2 linked regions of the Neodiprion lecontei genome follow. The protein of the gene in region 2 purifies or fractionates together with the protein of the main gene of each other region. This does not show direct contact. Links are inferred from orthologs where the notes say so. Each region holds a gene or a part of one and is shown on either strand. Other genes may lie near its edges. The genes, in order: RNA 3'-terminal phosphate cyclase-like protein and ribosome biogenesis protein BMS1 homolog.

Evidence for each region.
Region 1: the proteins of ribosome biogenesis protein BMS1 homolog (region 2) and RNA 3'-terminal phosphate cyclase-like protein purify together in Homo sapiens (co-immunoprecipitation; 4 studies listed by BioGRID and IntAct, with this or other methods). This does not show direct contact. The link is inferred for Neodiprion lecontei from reciprocal best matches to the Homo sapiens genes BMS1 and RCL1.

Annotation. Positions count from the first base shown.
Region 1 is NC_060260.1:411,877-418,276, reverse strand, and holds the start of RNA 3'-terminal phosphate cyclase-like protein, read right to left. Parts: upstream 4,287-6,400; 5' UTR 4,135-4,286; coding exon 3,993-4,134; intron 3,895-3,992; coding exon 3,655-3,894; intron 3,565-3,654; coding exon 3,398-3,564; intron 3,311-3,397; coding exon 3,136-3,310; intron 2,972-3,135; coding exon 2,821-2,971; intron 2,763-2,820; coding exon 2,658-2,762; intron 2,569-2,657; coding exon 2,415-2,568; 3' UTR 2,406-2,414; exon of another isoform or gene 2,275-2,405; coding exon of another isoform or gene 1,986-2,274; intron 1,747-1,985; exon of another isoform or gene 1,674-1,746; coding exon of another isoform or gene 1,425-1,673; exon of another isoform or gene 1,350-1,424; intron 1,306-1,349; coding exon of another isoform or gene 614-1,305; intron 542-613; exon of another isoform or gene 497-541; coding exon of another isoform or gene 357-496; intron 274-356; coding exon of another isoform or gene 72-273; intron 1-71. Other genes in the region: putative malate dehydrogenase 1B, read left to right, coding at 72-273, 357-496; tRNA-specific adenosine deaminase 1, read left to right, coding at 614-1,305, 1,425-1,673, 1,986-2,274; B-cell receptor-associated protein 31, read left to right, coding at 5,487-5,754, 5,904-6,331. UniProt on the Homo sapiens protein: As part of the small subunit (SSU) processome, it plays a role in 40S-ribosomal-subunit biogenesis in the early pre-rRNA processing steps at sites A0, A1 and A2 that are required for proper maturation of the 18S RNA.
Region 2 is NC_060261.1:13,349,743-13,356,142, forward strand, and holds the start of ribosome biogenesis protein BMS1 homolog, read left to right. Parts: upstream 1-2,572; 5' UTR 2,573-2,933; coding exon 2,934-6,400. Other genes in the region: adenylate kinase, read left to right, coding at 81-317, 820-987, 1,237-1,482. UniProt on the Homo sapiens protein: GTPase required for the synthesis of 40S ribosomal subunits and for processing of pre-ribosomal RNA (pre-rRNA) at sites A0, A1, and A2.

The sequences.
Region 1 (6,400 bases), on a different chromosome or scaffold from region 2:
AGGTTGAGTTTTGAACGTTGCAGTTTTAATGTGAATTTGTCCACCGGATAACTGTTGTGCTGAATTCACAGGTTGAATGTCATCCCCATTATCGTCAGGATGAACTAAGAACTTATTGTAACAAAGAAGGAATTCACGTTCAAGCTTATTCCTCTTTGGGCACAAGTAAATCTAACGAACTACTCCAAGATCCAACAGTCAACAGTATTGCCACAGAATACAAGGTATCTCCAGCTAGGGTACTATTAAGATGGGCACTGCAACAGGGTATTGGTATGTTGTCTGAACGTTTCATTCGTCTGAAATGCTTTGACTGTAATAACGTCGCCAATTGTCCATTATTTTCATTTTCATAGGAATCATACCAAAAGCTGCAAAAATGGAGCACATCAGAGATAACATCGATCTAAACTTTGTCATAAACGATCAGCACATGAAAACCTTATCCAGCTTACCTCAAAAAAAGTATACATGGGATCCAACCAACGTCTGTTGAGTGGCAAACATGTACTCGGTATAAATGCAGAATACTTGCAATGTTTACGTATTTTTATATCATTCATACACCTAATTAAAACCTAACTGACAACTGGAGCGTAAGTTGTTGTTAATTATGAACAACCTGGCGGATAGAATTGCCCAGCTCTGCTGTGAAAAATATAATAGTTTTGGAAAAACAGGAAAACCACAAGATACAGAGTGGACAGTTCTAGCTGGAATTGTTTTGAAAGATGCACAAGAATCTTTGTCAGTTGTATCGCTGGCTACTGGCACAAAGTGTTTAAGCGGTACTGAGTTATTAGATACAAAACAATGGGAAATCGGAAGTAGGTTGAGCGATTCACATGCTGAGGTCCTAGCCCGGCGAGCGTTTCTACGCTACTTATACCATCAATTAAATTTGAGGTTGAATGACAATAATAGCGATATTTTCGAATTGGATGCAAATAAAACAATCTGTCTACGGAATAATATTTCACTTCACTATTATTGTAGTCAAACTCCTTGTGGGGATTGTTCGATATTTCCTAAGATAGTTGAGAATTGTGTGTTCGGCGTCAACGCTTCTGCACGAAAAAGAAAGCTTCATGCAAACGACGATATGGAAGTAAAAAGAGCCGTTCTTCAGGAAGATTATCAGTGTGACGAGTACGACGTGCATCGAACAGGTGCAAAATGTGTCGAAATCGACAAACAAGATTCTCGCCTGCCGGGTATTAATTATCACCTTCTTGGACCCATAAGAACAAAACCAGGACGGGGTGATCGAACGCTGAGTTTATCCTGTTCCGACAAAATTGCTAAGTAAGAACATTGGGACCAATAAATTGAATTCAAACCTGGTATTATACCATTAAAAAAACCGTAGCTGCATCTCTTTTATTTTCATTATACGTATTGTAATTGTATAATATTTGTTATAGATGGAATATTATTGGTATACAAGGGGCTCTTTTATCCAGACTAATCCCACCTGTAATAATCGACAGTTTTTGTATTGGAGGGCAATCTCCATTTTCTCTAGAAGCTATGCAACGTGGTATATGTGAAAGGTTTGCCACTAGAAGATGTCCAGTTTTCATGCAATCGGAACAAAGTTTCGTCCACAGAAAAGGAGATAACAGGGCTCGGCCTTGCCCCTCTAGCATAATATGGTGTGCAGTACCCGAAAGGTGAATACCCTTGCCTTATCTGAACATTGAGTTTTATAGTGGTCTGATTCTAAGACAACTACTCGAAATACACCTGTAGTAGATGAGTAAAGGTTTCTTAAAAATCACTATTTCACAACTGTATCGTTATTTTGAAGAGATTTTAACCGAAGAATGAGTATAATTCACCTTTCATTGCATTTCGAATAATACTAGAGTTGTGAAATAGCCATTTATTCTGGTAATGCGTAATTATATTAACATGAACTTCAATCTCGTTAAAATGGTACATAGATGATTCATGTGAAAGTAATCATTTTTCAATATAAACAGACAATTGGAGATATCTGTGGATGGTCGAAAGCAAGGCGCAACGAAGAAGAAAAAAAGAGGAAATTACTTATTAATCAGCAAGCAAGAACTTTTCAGAACATTCCTCGTAACTGTTGACAAATTCAATAGAACAACAGCCAGTGAAGAAAATCACCCGAAGAAAATCACATACTATCATGCAAAGCAAAGCTCTGCAACTTATCAACAATCTTGGCAATTGTTAAAGTTACAAAGTTTTCGGGCATGGCCTGCGAAGCCATTGTACCTTCAAGACTTTGTATTAGTATAATCTGGTGTAGCATTTTGACAATTTTACAGGTTTTAGATTGTAGTAAATCAGTCTGACAGATTCGGGTGTAAAAGTATCAAGACCTCTGTTTAAATGTTTGGGCTTTATTTTAGTAAATAAAAATTACTCACACTTAAGAGCTACATGACACGGCGATTGATATTCGAATATCCTATTCCAACGCAAGTTAATAATACCAGACTTCGTTCCTCGACGATAGTTTCATCACTGCTCAACATGTCTATCTTAAAAACAACACCGAAAAAGTCTCTCAAATCCCGTAGAAATTGTATTCTGAAAATCAATAAGATATAGTCTAATGATAATCAAGCCTTTGATAATAACAATAAAGTGTTTTTTTGTACAAAATGACGTTCACTTACGCGGCTTGCGTCAATGGGCCTACGGTCATCTTTGAAATGTCTTTCTTACCAAGTGCCATAAACAGTGTTGCCATGCTTTGAAAGGCAGAATCTACACATCCACTTCTGTAAAGTAATTGTTTCTATAAAGGTGTTGATTAAATAATAACACATTTAAACTTACCTGTATATTTCATCCAAAAGATATAAGGCTGCCTTTTTACCAAGATCTTCAGGAACGCATGGTAGAGATCCGGTCTCTGTCAAGGATGAAAATGCTTCACCACTCAAAGATACTCCTGTTGTCGTTTCAGCCACTAAAGTAATTCCAAAACCTAGGGGTAAAAAATATTTATCTGGATATAACACGAATTTCAACCTCAACTGATAGAATATGTTCAAACTACATACTTTCATTGTGAATTAACTTACTGACAAAGAAAGTTGTTAACATCGATCTGTTAACTAGAAAAATTATTTTTCGTAATAATAATTTTACCTGGAGATTTACCGCTTGATGAACCTCGACTCTGATCTGTGTGAATATAAATGTCTGGAAGAAATTTTAACAGACATCCTTTAGCAGATTCCACCATGCGATTGGCTATTGCCGGGGATACACGTATCGAACACGCTACACCTCGCACTCGTTTGACCATTCCACAATTCTGGCACTATGGCAATAAGTTTAAGGTTAGGCTCCGTGTACCGCTGGATGATTTCAAATTTATGACAGTTGTTTAAAAAAATTGTTAACCAACCTGTATCGACTTGAGGTGACGATTCACCGGACATTTAAACCATACTTCGCCACCGCCTAATGGAGCAACGCCTCTCTTAGAAATATTCAATTCCACGTCATCATCCCCCACAATGAATTGCTTAATGACAGGAATTCCGCTGGCTTTCAGTCTATCGATAGAGGGGTCTGAAGTAATCGGAAACCAATTACTTTGATAGAACGTTTGATTTTTAATATGCACATTACAGAAATGAACAAATTTTCAAAAATTCTTACCAAGAGTATTGTTGGTTATTCCTTTGATTTTGAGTCTGATCATTTTCTTACAAAAAGGGGCTAACATCATGACAGCTTCTAAATAGTAACTGATACCTCGTTCAAGACTACATTCGTGTTCCAGATCTCCTCCGACCAGTAAACCAGGAATATAAGAAATAATAGTGCCAGTCTCATTCAACTCTATTCTGGTCCCATTTGTGATTTTGTCCATGAGTCGAACGAAGTTGATTTCATATTCTGTAATAAAAACCAAAAACATAAATGTCGAACTCCATGATTAAAACTAAGGAACTGAATTGGTCAACAATCGGATCCGTCCAGTTCGAAGTTCTAACCTCTAAGGCCGGGATTGTCATCGTTGATTCGTATCCCCGTGATTCTTACGGGTTTCCCGGACAATGTTGCCAGTAGTAAACGATACCTAAAGTAATTGCATCCTTCGTACGTGAGTACGTTGTTTATAAGTTTTCCTGGCATTCTTACTCAATTATATTACTGTGATCAAGTTTCAAACAATAATCACCGTAAAGCACGTGGTGTTTATTGCGATTCCCTATACTTTTTTTCTCTTATTTATTTTATCTTCTTTTTTTCTCGTCCAGAGAACCACTGACTGATACTTGACTGATACCTACTTATTGTCAGTGAGAGAAGACCTCGTTGACCTGCGTTCCTCAAATTGAGTCAAAACAACAATCTTTGACGTCTTTCCAATATTTAGGAACGCAAACTTTCGCCAACGGCCTGGCCAATCAAAGAAGACCCTGTGTTCGTGGAAAACGAAATAGAAGAAACGTAGAAAACATAGCAACATTTACGGGGTACAACGTCACCCTGTAATTTATTTATAAACTCAGGAATATCCGTACCGCACTTTGTACTTAGCTGGACGTTACGTTGGGCGAATGAGTGGTTAGAGATTTAGGTATTGCTTGAACCGGCGTGCGACTTTCTAAAAACCACGTAAGTAGTTGAGCCATTAATCTAAAAATTTCGCTAACCAAGTGAAAATAGACGATTCAGCCATTTCATATGTAATCTTCTGCGCTAACGTGAAATTTTTTTTATACCTTATCATCGCATTCGACAAGACAATATTCCTGTGAGATATGAGTACAAGACTCGCCTACATGTACGAGTTTCATTACGATTCAACAGTCAAATCCTTGCTCCCCGCCATCTCCTCGTTACATACATTTTTAGCCTTGCATCGACACAGAATATTTGTCAAATTCATAAATAGTATTGCGTCATAGGCTGAAGCTATCTGATCAAAGTTCGTAAAGTCGGTTGTGATTCACTTTTAAATCTTAGTATACAGGTATTGCATTTGATCTCATGTCATTACTGATTTTTTTTTTTTTTGTGACAATTCTCATTACTTTACTCACTTTTCTTGAGCCAAAGAATAATTCAGACAGTTCAAGTTTTTGGATATATTCAATAGTGTAAAATCGACTCGCATCCTCAGATACAGTATTTTGTAATAGATATCTGTAATTTGGGTAATCTTGGGTCTTTTTGGTCTTATGCTGACAGTAATCGACACTAGCAAGTCAGAAAAAAATTACTGAATGCTTAAATAAAATGGGCTCAAGAGTTTCCCATTTTTCATTTGTAATTCATCCGTTGGTCAGTCTATCATAGTACAATAATATCTTGGATGTGACGATTTAATTTAATTCAAAATTCACCCGGGCTAGAAACGACAGACATTTAAAAACTTTTCAGTACCTGATATTAACCAAGTGTGTAATTGAAATTGTTCATTATTATTTTCAGATATATTCGTCTGAAAGATAAGAAAGCAAGAAAAAACGGTAATAAAGATGAGCTTGCAATGGACGATTATCGCTTCTTTTTTATATGTGGAAATAGCTGTTGTTCTGCTCCTCGTTTTGCCAATAGCATCCCCGAAGAGTTGGCAACGGCTTTTCAAGTCCAGATTCCTTCAGAGCTTGAGCAGTCAAGCGTCGATATACTTTTTAGTCCTGCTGGCCATTTTGGTATTATTTTTGCTAGATGCGATTCGAGAAATGCGCAAGTATTCTAACATAGAGACTGGGGAACATGTTCACTTAAATACAGAAATGCAAGGTACGAAATTTGTATACTATTATTTGTTGAAAAATGAAGTGCATCTGTGATTCAAAATTCAAAAAATGGGACTACTACTGTATGTGGGTTAATGTGTTTTCGTAGAAATAACATTCTTTGATAACGAAATACAATTGCATAAATTATAGGTAATATGCGGCTGTTTCGGGCTCAACGGAATTTTTATATTTCTGGATTTTCGCTCTTTCTGAGCCTTGTGATCCGTCGCTTGGTTACACTGATTTCGGCCCAAGCAACGCTACTGGCACAAAGTGAGGCAGCTATGCGGCAAGCAGTATCTGCCACCACCACAGCAAAATCTCTACTGGCACAGAAATCATCAGGAGAAAGTGCCCAGAATGATTCCAACGAGGCTCACGACAAAGCAGTTTCTGAGCTTAAAAATCAAATCAAAGGCTTAAATAAACAAATTTCTGAGCTCGAAGCGGAATTGCAAAAGGAAAAGAAAGACAAAGAAGCAGTCACATCGCAAGCAAAATCTCTTGTGCAGGAATATGATCGACTGAGCGAAGAACACGCCAAGTTGCAATCTAGCGGAGACAAAAAAGTGGAATAATTTTCACCATACTTCCTTTTGCGCAAAAGAGATGGTATTTGTTTGTAATTCTAGCTATAAAAATAATGT
Region 2 (6,400 bases):
TTTCTTGAAGACCATACATACAAGTACCATTCCACATTGTCCTGGTGCAACACAATGCAATTTTCTTTTCGGTATCACAGGCGGTGGCCTTGAAGGAAAGGTACTGTGTGTGCCATCTCTCGACTGGTGATATGTTGAGAGCTGAAATTGCTTCTGGCTCTCCTTTGGGAGCTCAGCTCAAGGCAGTTATGGAACAAGGAAAACTTGTCAGTGATGATCTTGTAGTCGACATGATTGACAGCAATCTAAACAAACCTGAGTGTCAGCGAGGCTTCTTGCTAGATGGATTTCCACGCAGTGTACAACAGGCAGAAAAAGTAATTTACAAACATGCTTGTTTGCTCTGAACAAGATATTTAAATCTTTTCTTTACTTTAAGTAAATCTCTTCTATGTATAAATACATCTGATTAAGGTTCAATAACTAGTTTAAATATTGTGAAAAATGTCTTATGAACTCTAATGAGCTCTGATTTCATTCCAACTACTTTTGCGCAATGCGGATTATTTGCAGATATTTGATATGAAATTTGGCAGAATGTTTTCTAGATTTATTCTCACAGGTTGAATATAAGTTTTATACAAAGTTTGTGGTTCCAAAAAACTTGTTCAAAGCTGTGCAAATTGTGTTCAAATTACATGAAAGTGATGTAAGAATATAGTAAGAACTAAACCGAGCTTACAAAACATTTTTTGCAATATGCTAGAAATTTTAAAATTTATCAGAATCCTGTTGAAAAATAATCAGTAACATTTTGACCACCAGGAAACCAAGGCTCTGTACAATCAGCCATTTTCACAATTACATTAATTTTATTAGCTGGACAATATCCTGGAAAAACGAAAAACGAAGCTCGACGCAGTTATCGAATTTGGAATAGATGATAACTTGCTTGTGCGCAGAATAACTGGTCGTCTAATCCATCCATCCAGTGGGCGATCTTATCATGAAGAATTTTCGCCACCAAAGGCTCCGATGAAGGATGATGTAAGGATAATTCGCATTTTAGCTTAATACAAGACGGATTATTCCAATAATCCATTAAATGGAGGAATTGCAATAGAAAATGACCAGAATTTGAAAACGCTTGCTTGCTATTGGTAAAATGATGAAATGAAATTTTGTTTTATTGTTCCACTTAAGAGAAATGCGAAAACTTGGGATTATGGTAAATTGATCAATATCTGAACTGGTAACTGCTCTTTTCATTGATTACCCTATTGATGTTGTCAACAGATTACTGGAGAAGCTTTGATTAGAAGATCGGATGACAATGCAGACACTTTAAAGAAGAGATTGGCCACTTATCACACCCAGACTGCACCATTGGTCGATTATTACGCATTACGTGGTATTCATTACCATGTAAATGCAGCCAAGTCCAGCGCAGACGTATTCAAAGATATAGATTCGATTTTCCGTCAAGCGACGGCGGTTGAAAAAGCGAAAAAAAGCAAAGGATTCTTCAGTAACTTCTTCTAGGCATCCCGTTCGCTGTTGTTACGTTATGCATAAATGCAAGCAATATATCATCGAATCATGTGATGCTCGAACACTATCGTCAATTGCGTCACTAATTATTGTTAAGAACATTATCGTTATCAATCAATTTCAGATATGAAAGTTCGATTTGGCTTTGGTAGGAATAAGTTGTAATTATCGGACACCGATTCAGTGACGAAATTACTTATACAACCTGTTCGCCATAACTTAAGTAAATGTAATATACATATCGTGTGAAACATACAGAACGAAGTTTGTGGCAAACGTTTCATAAATGAGGTTGCTTTCCTTTATTGGTTGACGCTTTTAATCAAAACTGTCGTTCGTTCATTTGTATTTTGAAGATATATTCGTGGCACGATACTTCGCCCAACAATAACCATGCCCGAGCATCAGATTTCCGAAAAATTACAAAAATATTTAACGCTTTCTCAACTGCAGTCGAAAGGTTGTAACCCAAATTATAATAATTGTAGAATCTGTTTAGTATAATTTTATACATGTAAAGGTAACTACGTGACGTTTGAAAACGAAAAATATAGATATTCTTTTCTGAAAATGTCTCAGAGAACGTTTAAAGGCACTCATGATATCTAATCATTACTGGAACAAATTACGCACATAATCACCGTTACTAAACGTATCGGTCGTATCGTTAATCACAAACAATAATCACGGAATTTGTTGAATTTGCATAAATTGTACTGTTTGTTTATGTATATCCTAAATTTTATCAATTGTATTTGATCAATGTATTACAAATAAATTCTTTGCCTTAAATATACGTTGCGACGGAACGAATTTCTCCCCAGTAAGAGCACTGAGCAGTGCTCGCAGCAGAGTGTATATCGGATCATACCCATAGTAAGACGAGTAATCCTCTCTACGGCAACCAATCACGAGCGTGCGAGGCAGAGAAAAGTACTCGTCTTACTATTCCCCACTCTGAGCCGTTTTCCACTTACACGAAAGGGTATACCATGCTTTCTCCATAGTATATGCTCTAAGGTGTAAACAAACAACTCTTAGCCGTTCAGATCCGTGTAGCTAAAGTAGGGTCTGTAGTTTTGCCACATGGCAGCACTGATTATTTGCGCTCATCAACGTGCCCAACATGTGCTTCACACACATTATATCACTGAACAGCACTGAACGGCATCGTGTGGCACCGCGTTGAGTTGTGAGGTTACGTGTAAAGTATTTTAAACTTTGAAAAATAATGTTGAATAACACGTTCAATCATCAACAGTTGGTAAATTGCCACAAATAATTCTACAACCTTCACAAACTGTCAAGAAATTAACGTAAAATATATTATGTTTAGTACGTTTTATGGTTAAAATAAATTTTATGGTTATGTTATGCCTCAAATCTTATGAAATGATAAATAAGATTCCGGTTAATTGTTAATGACTAAACCGTAAGTAAAGATGTCTGGAATTGACGAAGGAGGGGTTAAGCATAAGTCGCATCGTGATCGCAACGCGGGGCGAAAGGCAGAGAAGAAGAAAAACAAAAATGAACATGTCCAAGAGTTGACAGACAAGCAAAAGAACCCAAAAGCTTTCACATTCAATTCGGCCATAAGAGCTGAGCGTGGTTTCAGACGTAAACAAGACCTTGAAACAAAAAAACAGCATATACCGTTGGTGGATAGAACGCCTCTGGAACCACCGCCAGTCTTAGTGGCTCTAGTTGGTCCTCCAAAAGTGGGCAAATCAATGCTAATGCAATGTCTAATAAAGAGCTTTGCTAGGCAGCCACTGTCGAATATTCTTGGGCCAGTAACTGTTGTTTCTGGTAAAAAACGTCGCATAACATTCATTGAATGCAACAACGACATCAATAGCATGATTGACATAGCAAAAGTAGCTGATTTGGTTTTGCTCCTGGTGGATGCGTCGTTTGGTTTTGAAATGGAGATATTTGAGTTTCTAAACATATGCCAGGTGCATGGTATGCCGAGAATAATGGGTGTGCTGACGCATCTGGACCTCATAAAGAATACCAAGCAGTTGAGAAAGATCAAAAAAACACTGAAGCACAGATTTTGGACTGAAGTTTACGCTGGAGCCAAGCTATTCTATTTATCTGGACTTCTGCATGACGAGTATCTCCGCAATGAAGTGAAGAATCTAGCTCGTTTCATATCAGTGATCAAGTTCAGGCCTTTGACTTGGCGGACCACGCATCCGTACCTTCTGGCAGACAGGATAGAGGATCTCACTCCTCCAGAATCCATCAGACAAAATACAAAAGTTGACAGAACCATCAGTCTCTATGGATACGTGCGCGGTGTTCCCCTGAACAAGGAAACTTCTGTACATATTCCTGGCTGCGGAGACCTCAAAATCAAGGATGTCAGTTTCTTGCCTGATCCTTGTCCGCTGCCTGATCAAATAAAGAAACGCTCTCTCGTTGAAAAGGAGAGACTAATCTATGCTCCATTTTCGGGAGTTGGCGGTATCGTCTACGATAAGGATGCCGTCTATGTGGAATTGGGAGGGAGCCACTCTCATCAAGAGAAGGAGGGAGAGGATCCAAGTCTGGTTGGTAATCTGATGGAAACGCAGGAAACCATTGACACCAAGTTGCGTCGTAGCGAAATGCAAATTTTCAGCGGCACGGCATTGATTAGATCAGAAGATGTCGAAGAAGAGTTCAATACTGATTTGAAGAGTAAATCAGTTATCGAAGAACAAAGGATCAGGCGCAAAGTAGTATTCGACGACGAGATGAACGAGCTACCTAACGACGAAGAAGACAGCGACGATGAGGTGGATTTCGGTAAGCAAAATTATGATTCGGATGGAGATGAACTGGAAAGTAATGAGAGGAGTAAAAGAATCTGTTCAGAGGCAGATGACGGGATTATTTGTAAAAGAAAAAAAATTGAAGACGAAGATGGAAATGTATCAGTGAAATTCATTAAGAACAAAGATCAGGCTATAACTGATTGTGAGCAAATATATCGCGGACTTAGCAGTAATCCCGATAGTCATATAAAGGATAAAATCTCTCAGGCATTGAGTATGCTGGACAGTAATAAAAAAAATCGGGACGACAGATCAGAGGCTGATCTCAGCGAAAATGAAAGTTTTGACGAGGAGAGTGATGATAATGATTCTGAGCTAAATTCGAACGATGATGTTCATGTGGAGGATGAGTTACAATGGAAGTCAAATCTGACGGAAAAGGCAAGCGAAGCATTTACAGACCGGCTGAGATCCCAAAAAAATTTAATGAAAATTGTGTACGGCGAATTTGACAAATCTTTCGTAGCTGTCGATGATGAATCGCTTTCGGATGAAGATTCAAAAAATGAAGATATTGGCGGTATTTTTCGCATTGTAAATAAGCAGGAGAGGCAGAAACTGGAGGCACGAGAACTGCGGAATCAAGAGGAGAGCGTGTTTTACTCCATAGATTTGTCAAAGGATTGGGAATTGGAAGAAAACCGCAATCTGCTAACGAATCGTTTTGTGACTGGTAAATGGAAGGAATCCGAGGATGCCGAGGAGCTGTTGAAGCTCGACGACCTGGAAGATGACGACGATTTGTACGGAGATTTCGAGGATCTAGAAACCGGGGAAAAGCACAAGGCTGAGGCTCCTGAAGAGATGACATTCAGCGAGGCGGATGAGCGGCGAAAGCTGATTGAGAAGAAGCAGAAGCTTAAGGAGAAGTTCGACTCGGAGTATGACAAGGGTGAAGACAAGTCCTACTACGACGAGTTAAAGTCGGAAGTCGAGAGGCAGGCGCAGTTGAACAAGTCTGAGTTTGAGGGCATTGCGGACGAAATCAGGGTCCAGCTCGAGGGTTTCAGGCCTGGAATGTACGTCCGTGTTGAGTTGGACTCGGTGCCCTGTGAGCTGGTGACGAATTTGGACCCGACCTACCCGCTGATTGTCGGTGGACTGTTGCATGGCGAGGAGAACATTGGGTTTGTGCAGACTCGGATAAAAAAGCACCGGTGGTACAAGAAGATCCTGAAGACCAAAGACCCGCTGATTATCTCTGTCGGATGGCGGCGGTTCCAGGCTTTGCCCATCTATGCGAAGCTCGAAGACAATCTGAAGCATAGGATGCTGAAGTACACGCCCGAGCATGTGACTTGCATGGCTCATTTTTGGGGCCCTATAACTCCTCAGGGCACCGGAGTTCTGGCGGTGCAAGACGTAGCCGCCAGGCAAGCAGGATTTCGCATCGCGGCAACCGGCTCGATAGTCGAGCTTGACAAATCCACATATATCGTCAAAAAGCTCAAGTTGACTGGTGCCCCGTTCAAGGTTTACAAGAAGACAGCATTCATCAAGGGGATGTTCAATTCCAGCTTGGAAGTGGCCAAATTTGAAGGCGCCAAATTGCGGACTGTGTCCGGCATTCGTGGACAGATAAAGAAGGCATGTTCCAAACCACAGGGTGCCTTTCGTGCAACCTTTGAAGACAAGGTGTTGCTCAGTGACATTGTGTTTTGTCGAACCTGGTACAAGGTAGATGTACCGAAGTTTTACAGTCCCGTTACATCGCTGCTGCTGCCGCCGAGTGAGAAGAATCAATGGCGAGGAATGAGGACGACTGGTCAACTCAAGAGGGAGAATAATTTAAGGGCTCAACCTAATTCGGATTCACTTTATATACAGATCAAAAGAGATCCGAAAGTTTTCAAACCACTGATCATACCGCGAACTCTGCAGAAGGGTTTGCCATACAAAGACAAACCAAAATTACAACCTGTTATCAAAAACCATAGACCGAAACTCGAAGATCGACGACCAGCTGTCGTTAGAGAGCCCAAGGAGGAACAGGTAGCCAAACTAATGAAAATGCTTAGAACTTCGTACAGCCATAAACAGGATCAACTGAAAGAAGCAATGAGCAGAAGGATTATGGCCCA